Daphnia pulex: one gene and its partner. The protein of the gene in region 1 purifies or fractionates together with the protein of each later gene. This does not show direct contact. Links are inferred from orthologs where the notes say so. Each region holds a gene or a part of one and is shown on either strand. Other genes may lie near its edges. The genes, in order: DNA replication licensing factor mcm7-like and cell division control protein 45 homolog.

Region 1 (4,516 bases):
CCTAAAACACGTTAAATTAGACAACTTAGTGTGAAATATGGCGTAAATAACATAAGTATAATTACCAATGCTGTTGATAAACGCAGAATACCCAATAAATTACGGGCCGAGGTGAATGTCATGTCTTTGTTATTTCTTGCTTCTTTACGCATTTCAACATAAGCGCCTATTATAAAATATTTTTAATTATTCAACTAGTATTAATAGGAAAATCTGATGTGTCCATACTGACGATGTAGTCGGTCAAATGTTCTGGGACAGAAGGCTGTTTTTGACGACAGAGAGCAATATACCGTCTCATTAGTTTCATATCAAGCGGCTGCACGCGTGTAGGAGGTTGACAGTAGTGCTGATGAACATACGTAATATGTCGTGCCAGTCTGCCAAATGATTCAATGGGTAAGAAGGCAAATAAGTAACAGATCAAACTCAATAAGGAATTAAGACAACCAAAGTTACACCTTAAGTCATTCTCTCTGTCTGAGCGATCTTGAATCAACCATAAAACGTCAAAACGCGAAAGAAGGGCTGCTGGTAATTGAATATTATGTTCAACAGATTTTTTTGGGTTATATCGACCATAAGCGGGATTGGCAGCTGCTAGTATGGAAACACGGGCATTAAGTGTAGTCATGATTCCTGCCTGAAATATTAATGGTAAGTTAAATAAAAACTTAATTTTAAATTAGTGTTTTGATGAATTTACTTTGGCTATTGAAATAGTTTGTTGTTCCATGACTTCGTGGATAGCCGTACGATCAGACTCAGGCATTTTGTCAAACTCATCAATGCAACAGACACCCTGATCAGCCAACACAAGCGCTCCTCCTTCTAGGGTCATTTCACCCGTAACTGGATCTTTCAGCACGGCAGCAGTCAAACCGACACCAGAAGATCCACGTCCTGTGGTATACTGACCTATTTTTTTTTTTAAATTATTATTATTGTTTTCAAACGTACATTTTGGGCTATTTAAAATACTTCTTGGGGCTAGACGATCGATGAACTTCAGTAGCTGTGACTTTGCAACACCAGGATCTCCCATTAGACAAATATTGCTGTGACGTAAGATAAATAAAAATAATTAGATTAATTTAATACTATTCCTATTCTGTTATGATTCCATGATTTTTTTTAGAAAACATGCATTTATATAAAAAGAAACTAGCCTTACATCGTTCCACGAATTTTCATGCCATTGGGTTTTCGATCAATTCCACCAACAAGCAACAACAACAGCGCTTTCTTAACGTCTTCGTGTCCGTAAATCTCTGGTGCGATGCTTGTAGCAAGCTTCTCGTAAAAGTCTTCTTCGCCGATTTGACGCAGTTCTTCTTCTGTCAGAGTTTCCATGCTCATTTCGTCATCTTCGGTTTTGTTTAACCTAACTACTCTCTGTCAGCAAACAGTTAAGAGCTAATGAACACTATTCAGAATGGAGTTCTAACATATTTACATGTGCTTCGACATAAGCTTCGGAAAGAAGTCCTTGCATTTGTTGACGAAAACCTGCTCGCAACATAGGAAGGAAAATGCCTGTAATGCTGACATGATCTCCAGGTTGAGACAAACGCGTTGTTTCGCCCCGACAATAGACGGTCAAGCACCGCGGTACGTGGCCAACCGGCACTTGATCACTCTTTTGACAAAACAAAATGGTTACATTATGAGTAAAAGTTTAAGTTTTTTTTTAAATATCAGATTACATGTTCCTGTATCTTCAGTTCTTGAAACTTGACAAATTTAGAGCCACGAGTTTGAAGATACAAGCGACCACCACTCTTATTCACTTTGCAATCATCAGTGGGACACATCAACAGCGGCATAAAAGATGTTGAATTAATCTAGAGAAAATACCATATTTAGAATTAGAGGAAAATAACATCAGTGTAAGCTTCTTTGAAATTACAGGTTGATAAGTTTCAGCACCACACTGGTCACATGTATATGTTGCTACCTGCATCATTGGTTTCACTTCAGTGCAACGTGTTACTATGCCACGAACTGTCACTAGTTTACCTAGAATGAATGTGTACAGAAAACTTTTTTAGAAGCCTATCACTAAGCTGAATAATAAATTGCCTACCTATATGAACAGCTTTTACTTCTCTAATGGGTATAGCCTTCTGCAAAGAAGGAGATTTAAAATAAACCTCACTAAAAAAAAATGATTGCTTCAGAAGACATTAATTATTTCAAGAAAATATTAGTGTAGATTACAATCTGCGCATCAATTCTGGAGGATACTTGTGCAGTCTATTTGGTTCATCATTTTGGTGCTGATTTTCAACTATCAGGCGATGATTAATGTAGACATCAAGGGCATCCTTTGCTTCAACATCATGCTCTTTATAGTTGGGTAGCATTTCTTGAACAACTTCCCCAAACAGCAAAGTGTATCGTCTACCATTGTCAACTATCTGTTCTGCTAATTCATCATCAAACTCAGCAACATCTTCCAAATCAATCACTAGTTCAACCTACAACAATCTTGTTTTAAAATAAATTTACGATTGCGAATGTATTTTTACTTTACCTGCTCACGGTGAGCAATTCTAGTTAACTGAGTGGCATATTTGAAGTCTTTACCGTTTTTTCCCACTTTGTGAAATTCGGCGAAAAACGTTTTAATTTTTTCTAAAACAAAAAAAAAAATAATTCCAATATAGAAATGAAATAAGATATTAATTTACCCTTTTGCGCGTTATAATCTACCGGATTCAGAGCCATGTTAAAAGGAAATCGTAGATGGATAACTGCCTAACAGAATCGGTTTATGTTAATAACTGACTCCCTGTGCTGTGTGCTTAACACTGTTTGACAAGTTACTTGGTTTATTGTTCTGCGCAGAAATGGGCGCGAAACGGAGCCCTAACAAACAGCGCTCTGCTGCCATATTTATGTAGTTCTTCGCTTTCATTTTTTTTTTTTTTTATGTATCCCCAGAGTGTATCCCGAATCCCGATCCCATTGGCGCTGTGGCCCGGACCTTTTGGGACGGATTTCTTCTTATATCAGTCAAATTATTAAGCGGTTGTTTTCCTTAATGGGGTTGGAGCCTGATCGGCGTTTAAAAAAAATTTACCGTCCCGCTTGACTGGCTTGAGGCTTGCATCATGTAAAATAACCCAGGTCACGTTATGTCCTGGGTATTAAATCAGGTTAAGGCATGGGTATGGACAGGAGTATGGAGAGATGTTGCCAATGACCATGTTAAATTTCCCATAAGGAGATTCAACGGGAAGCTACTTTTTTACTAGCGACATTTGTATGGACATGATACGGTGGCCTCTTTGAATCAACGCCATCTAGGCTGTTGCGACATATGGACATTCAAAGGGGCCATTTCAAAGGTCGAGTTGACTGTATATATGTCGCAACGTCTTAGATGGCGTTGATTCAACTCGACCTCCATACAAAATCGCTAGTAAAAAAGTAGCTTCCCGTCGAATCCCCTTATAGGAAATTTAACATGATCATTGGCAAGTGGCAACCATTTCTCCATACTCCTGGTTAATAAGGGCACATTTTCAATTTTTATCGATAAATACAATGACTGCGGTAATGAGAACTCGTTTTATCATTATCAATCATAGCTATCTTCAAACTCATAAAAAAGATATAGATTATTAATTTAGAAATTTTTTTTTGATTTTTATGGATCTGGTATGGAATGATTGTTTTATGTGGCAACATTGTTATTGGTAATAATTAACAAACTCCTCAAAATCCAGAAATTTTTTTTAACACAAGTGTAATCTTAAAAAAATAAAATACAGTTTTTCTCTTCGTCTCTCCAGATAAATAAGAAAGAAAAGAAATGTTAACGTTGAAATCAGGAAGTCGTTTCATTTCAAATATGTCTAGATTTGCGTTGAGTCGACAAATATATTTGTCATGTCGCAAACAAGTTGATTCTGATGAATGGAGAACTCACCTTACAAACAACAACACTGGCGAAACTACCCCTCTTACAGTTGGTGTGGAAAAAAGTTAGTTTTAAAAGATTACATTCATTTATATAGTATTTAGGTTCTAATGTTCTTTTATGTAGCTATTAATTCGGTGACTCTGTTGGGTAGAGTTGGCTCAAATCCTGTTAAACGTGGTTCTTTGGAACATCCAGTTGTTACATTTTCTTTGGCTACAAACTCAAACTATAGTTATCCCAATGGTTTGTTAATTGAAATTTAATTCAAAATATTTTAAACTGATTTGTTTTCCTAAAGGAGATGTCAACCAGAAGACTGAGTGGCACAGAATTTGTGTGTTTAAACCTTACCTGAGAGACTCGATATTAAAGTACACTAATAAAGGACAAAGAGTTTTTGTTCAAGGAAGAATCATCTATGGAGAAGTAAAAGAACCTGAGGGTAATTTAAGGCACACATGTTCAATTGTTGCAGATGATGTTATCTATTTTAGAAACAATTCATAAAAACAAATGAAAAAGTCAAATAAAAATGTGTGCGATTGATTATGAATTGCTCCTGAATCTTTAGTGTTAAACAGTATC
Region 2 (4,414 bases), on another chromosome or scaffold:
TCCCGAATAATGAAGGCAACTGTAAGATCTTCCAAGCGCATCCCTATTGAATTGCGACATGGAAACAAATAAATTGCTGTCAACCGTGAATGAAACAGAATGGATGCGCGGAAGCCATAACACATGTCGGGAATCAAGCGCATCCAATTGTTTGCCGTGAGATACTTAACTTACTTAAGACTGGCTGCCTTTTCAAAAGGTAAAGTAGATAAAAAGTTATTGCAATAAAGGATGTATAATCGGCGATAATATATAATTTGCACGGGAAATCGCCAACGAAATTCTACACACTGTTTTAAAATCAAGTATGGCATGTTTAAAAAAAAAAGGGGGAGAAAATTCTCTAGAGGGAGTACAGCCTTAAATAAGAATAAGAAGAAAAAAGATACTCGTTTGATGTGAATCACTAATCCCATTTTGACCGTTCGGGTTCGGTAAATTTGTGTTACTCTAGGAGTGAAAAGAGCGAATCCAAGAAATTGGTTCGGCATTCCGAGTTGATCTCGATCACTGCGCATTCAAGAGAAAAACGAATTAGTAAATAAATCGCTACCTACAGCAACACAAATCTCATACCGGAGGAGTCAAAAAATACAGATGTGATTTCTGTTTGGGTATTTTCAGCTGCTTGCTCAAAGGCTTTTCCAATCAAGCTGTGACAATCGTTGCAAACGGTTAAGAAACGGTAAATGGAATTCTAGGAGATGAGGCACTTACTTTTTAGGGGAATCCAATGATAAAGGAGGCAAACCCAATAAAAGGCAATGAGATGGTCGAGACGCCGATGGGGCTGAAATGATGAGTGGAAGCTCTCTCGCTCTCAATCCACGACCTCGTGCTCGCGAGATGTGGGCTTTGAGAAGAAACTGTCCCAGCATGAGCAAACTGTGCGGATAACCATAGTACTTGGCGTCTGGTGTCCCCTGTATGTTGCACAAGTTGTTTAGATGCTATTCGTGTCAGGGATGAATACGATTCATTATTATTACGTCTTGGATAACTGCGTACAAACAAGGTCCTGCGCTGATCACGTGACCCATATCCAGACAGGTGTGCACTTCTTTTCCGATCGCCATTTGCTGAAGCTTGGCCAGTTCGATTCCTTTATAAACAGCATCCATTTTCGAGCTAAAAGATATGAAAGGAACAATGTCTCAATCACGATTCTTTCTATGAAGATGACTTGAGGTTAAGAAGCATACTTTGAAAGACATTCCAGTGCGTCGTGAAATGCATCGGCTGGATCTTTATCCTTTTCGGCCGAATCAAGCAACGCTATAAGAGCGTAGACATAGTCACTGGCGGAATTCTTTGGCCGGAATCCATACTGAGAATTAAAACTGTATTCAACGAGGTCTTCCAAGTCGTATTTTTCCACTTTTTTCTGGAAAATGGCACGCAAATCATTTCGAAGCTCGATATCCATAGAGTTAAATTTTTGGCGACACTGAGACAGTGGAAGCCTGTGAGCAATAATAAAAGACATTGCAATAATAGTAGTAAAATATATTTGGATTCTGAAATTACCCCAATTCAGCTAGAAACTCGTTGAGTTTTTTCTCTCCTTTCAGTGTCCAAAGTTGAAAATGACTGGCTGTTTGAGGAGAGTATTTTAAGCTTTCCAATAAACTCCAGTGTCGGTACATTGACAAATTTAAACTGTTTAAACAAAAAGTTAATTTAAATTACTGTAAATTAAATAGCAAAAATATTATGTTACTCTTTTTCGTGGGTTATATATAGTGCGTCTTTGGTTCCTGTCGATTCTCCACCGTGTTGCGATAAATGGGCCAATCGAATCATGTGACTTTGCAATTTGCCATTATCAAGAACCGAGGTTTTTGATTCGACTTTACCCAGAAGCTGCTGTTCGTTCACACCAATAATAGCCCACCTGCAATACCAATGAACCATGTACATTCTTACTCAGCTAAAAATTTAAAGAATTATTACCACAACAAGTCATTGCTGTCTCTAGATAATTTCCAGGCAAGTTCAAACATAAGAAGAGCAGTCTAAACGACGAAAATGAATGGTAATAAAAGTTGAATACAGTTTTGATTTTGAATTAAACTTACCGACGATGAATAAAAAGAAAATTGCATATAGTTAAACAAAATCTCCTTTCTTTTCTCATGCCATAGCCTTTTTTCTCTACGACGCATAACCATTTCAGCAGGATCCAATTTCTGACGTTTGGATTTAGATTCACGAACTTCTTCTTCATCATCATCACCATCACCATTTGCTTCTCCATCTGAAGGATTGCTGCCCTAATTATTTTAAAAATTTATCAGTTTCAAATTTAAACATATGCCAATTAATTAACTACCTCATCATCATCATCGTCATCATCATTCCCAAAGATATCTTCATATGTTGGTATATCTTCTTTCTCATTTACCTTTCCCAGTATACAAACCTAAACAATGGCACACAATCAACAAAGTTTTCGCTATAAAAAGTAAACAGTGATATTTACCTGTCCATCGTTGTAGATGTTACAAACATCATATGGCCGATGTGAGTCTGCAATATAGAAGATTTTTTCCTCTGATGGTTCTAATGTTTCTACAATGTCCAAAGTTCCTCCACAGTTTATCAGAATAATGTGGTTCGACTGTAGAAATTATATTGACACTCACTTCTTCAACACTATATATATTATTACGAATGCATTTTCACCTGTTCACAGCTCTCTTTGTAGGCTGAAATGAGATCATTTTGGCTCTGCACAGGGACTATAGAATAGCTGATTGAATCACAAAGTAACAGGTACTGCAGAATTCGACATGAAGCTATGGCATCCACGTCGAAATTCACAAATATCAAGACACGCTGTACAAAGAAAATATGAGAAAGACATTACTTTATATCACACACAAAATATCGGTAAATCAGTCGTTCATTATTACTTTTCCCAATATAACATCGTAAAACTCGCGTTTGAGGTCACTGAGAAACATTGTTAGCCATTCACAATACCCTTTCCCTGATCCCTCACTCTTCTTTTCATTCGGTACGTGAAATGGCGCGAAACTAACAACAAAATCGAAGCCTCTTCTGGTGTCCCTTTAACACAGACAAAGGAATTGATTTTGTTTTTTCGTTCGTTTTTTAAGCACACGTGATATTTTTATATTTACAAACAAAGAATTCCACACACAAAATATGAAAAATTTAATTTTTTTATTTCCCTTCTTTTTAACGCTTACTTAAGTTTTCGTTGACAATTAGCATCCGAAATTCAAATGACCAACCAAAAGTTTTCAACTTATTTTGTAGATATTTTTCTCTGTTAGAATAAATCGTCTTTATGTAAAAATCTAATTTTAATCAATCATTATCGTGGATAAAGCTGATGCAACTGTTAAAGATTCAACTATTGGGGTAATCAAATATTCGCATATTTTAAAATATTTCACGTACGGATTCTAGTAAAGTTTTGTATACGCATATGTAGTTTTTTACAAATAATAAAAACAATACGACTTTAAATGCACAAGCATGTTAATTTATCAGCTGTAGGTCTTTATAAACCGTAGTGTCTGTAGCAATTCAACAGTTGGGCGCACGATCGTCAAGGTGCCAGCGCTTTAGGTAAAAGTTCCCCACAAGGACCCGAAAAATGAAATCTGCCAGAAACGTCAATAACGTGTTATGAAAAGAACTTTACGACATGCAAATGTTTAGGTGTTTCATACCCAAAGTGATGAGTAGCAGGAGTAGTTTCCATATTGAATTCCGCGACGGGAACCCCTCTTTCAGCAACCTGGGGAGCAAACATTGCTGCTGGATAGACAACTGATGATGTTCCAACGACCAAACACAGATCGCAACTATTAAGTTCCTCATCTAGATAATAAAATAAACACGTAAATAGGACACATAAAAAATTGACATCGAAGAAAAAATTGTACTAATTACCAGCTTTTTTGAGAACGGCAGAATCCAGATTTTCATGGAACCATACAACATGGGGCCTTAGAAGGCCTCCACAGGAAGAAACTTTGCATCTGGGCAACAATGATTCTGGAACCAATTCTCCAACCTCATTTGGGGATGGTGATCTAATAAGGGTAAGACAATTAGATTTTTATTTGAAATAAGTAAAAAAGGAAAATCTTACCCCTTTCCCCTAAGAGCTTCACAAATGGGACTGTCATGATTGGGTTCTATCTTTTTACATTTCAGACACCGAGTCTTGAACAGACTGCCATGCAGTTCTAAGACATTGACTGAACCAGCCCTTTGATGAAGTTCATCAATATTTTGGGTGATCACACTGACGTGCCTTCCTTCTTTAGTCATTCTATGTTGGAACTCTGCAATTGCATTGTGTGCCTGAAACAAGAAAAAAATACAGATTAAAGTGAGGAAATCATTCGAGTTAAACTGTCGGTTATTACATTGT

What was found.
Region 2: the proteins of DNA replication licensing factor mcm7-like (region 1) and cell division control protein 45 homolog purify together in Drosophila melanogaster (affinity purification with western blotting; 3 studies listed by BioGRID, with this or other methods). This does not show direct contact. The link is inferred for Daphnia pulex from reciprocal best matches to the Drosophila melanogaster genes Mcm7 and Cdc45.

Annotation. Positions count from the first base shown.
Region 1 is NC_060025.1:5,067,311-5,071,826, forward strand, and holds the start of DNA replication licensing factor mcm7-like, read right to left. Parts: upstream 2,847-4,516; 5' UTR 2,731-2,846; coding exon 2,694-2,730; intron 2,638-2,693; coding exon 2,537-2,637; intron 2,481-2,536; coding exon 2,221-2,480; intron 2,158-2,220; coding exon 2,087-2,157; intron 2,020-2,086; coding exon 1,910-2,019; intron 1,845-1,909; coding exon 1,707-1,844; intron 1,640-1,706; coding exon 1,457-1,639; intron 1,396-1,456; coding exon 1,175-1,395; intron 1,059-1,174; coding exon 982-1,058; intron 919-981; coding exon 707-918; intron 644-706; coding exon 229-643; intron 167-228; coding exon 66-166; intron 2-65; coding exon 1-1. Other genes in the region: single-stranded DNA-binding protein, mitochondrial-like, read left to right, coding at 3,821-3,992, 4,055-4,174, 4,230-4,438.
Region 2 is NC_060026.1:14,327,554-14,331,967, forward strand, and holds cell division control protein 45 homolog, read right to left. Parts: upstream 3,054-4,414; 5' UTR 2,967-3,053; coding exon 2,916-2,966; intron 2,839-2,915; coding exon 2,686-2,838; intron 2,621-2,685; coding exon 2,483-2,620; exon of another isoform or gene 2,423-2,482; coding exon 2,333-2,422; exon of another isoform or gene 2,274-2,332; coding exon 2,079-2,273; intron 2,036-2,078; exon of another isoform or gene 2,016-2,035; coding exon 1,954-2,015; exon of another isoform or gene 1,895-1,953; coding exon 1,721-1,894; intron 1,660-1,720; coding exon 1,528-1,659; intron 1,464-1,527; coding exon 1,203-1,463; intron 1,129-1,202; coding exon 990-1,128; intron 924-989; coding exon 718-923; intron 654-717; coding exon 577-653; intron 511-576; coding exon 446-510; 3' UTR 217-445; downstream 1-216. Other genes in the region: NAD-dependent protein deacylase, read right to left, coding at 3,581-3,635, 3,705-3,855, 3,928-4,070, 4,130-4,344, 4,410-4,414.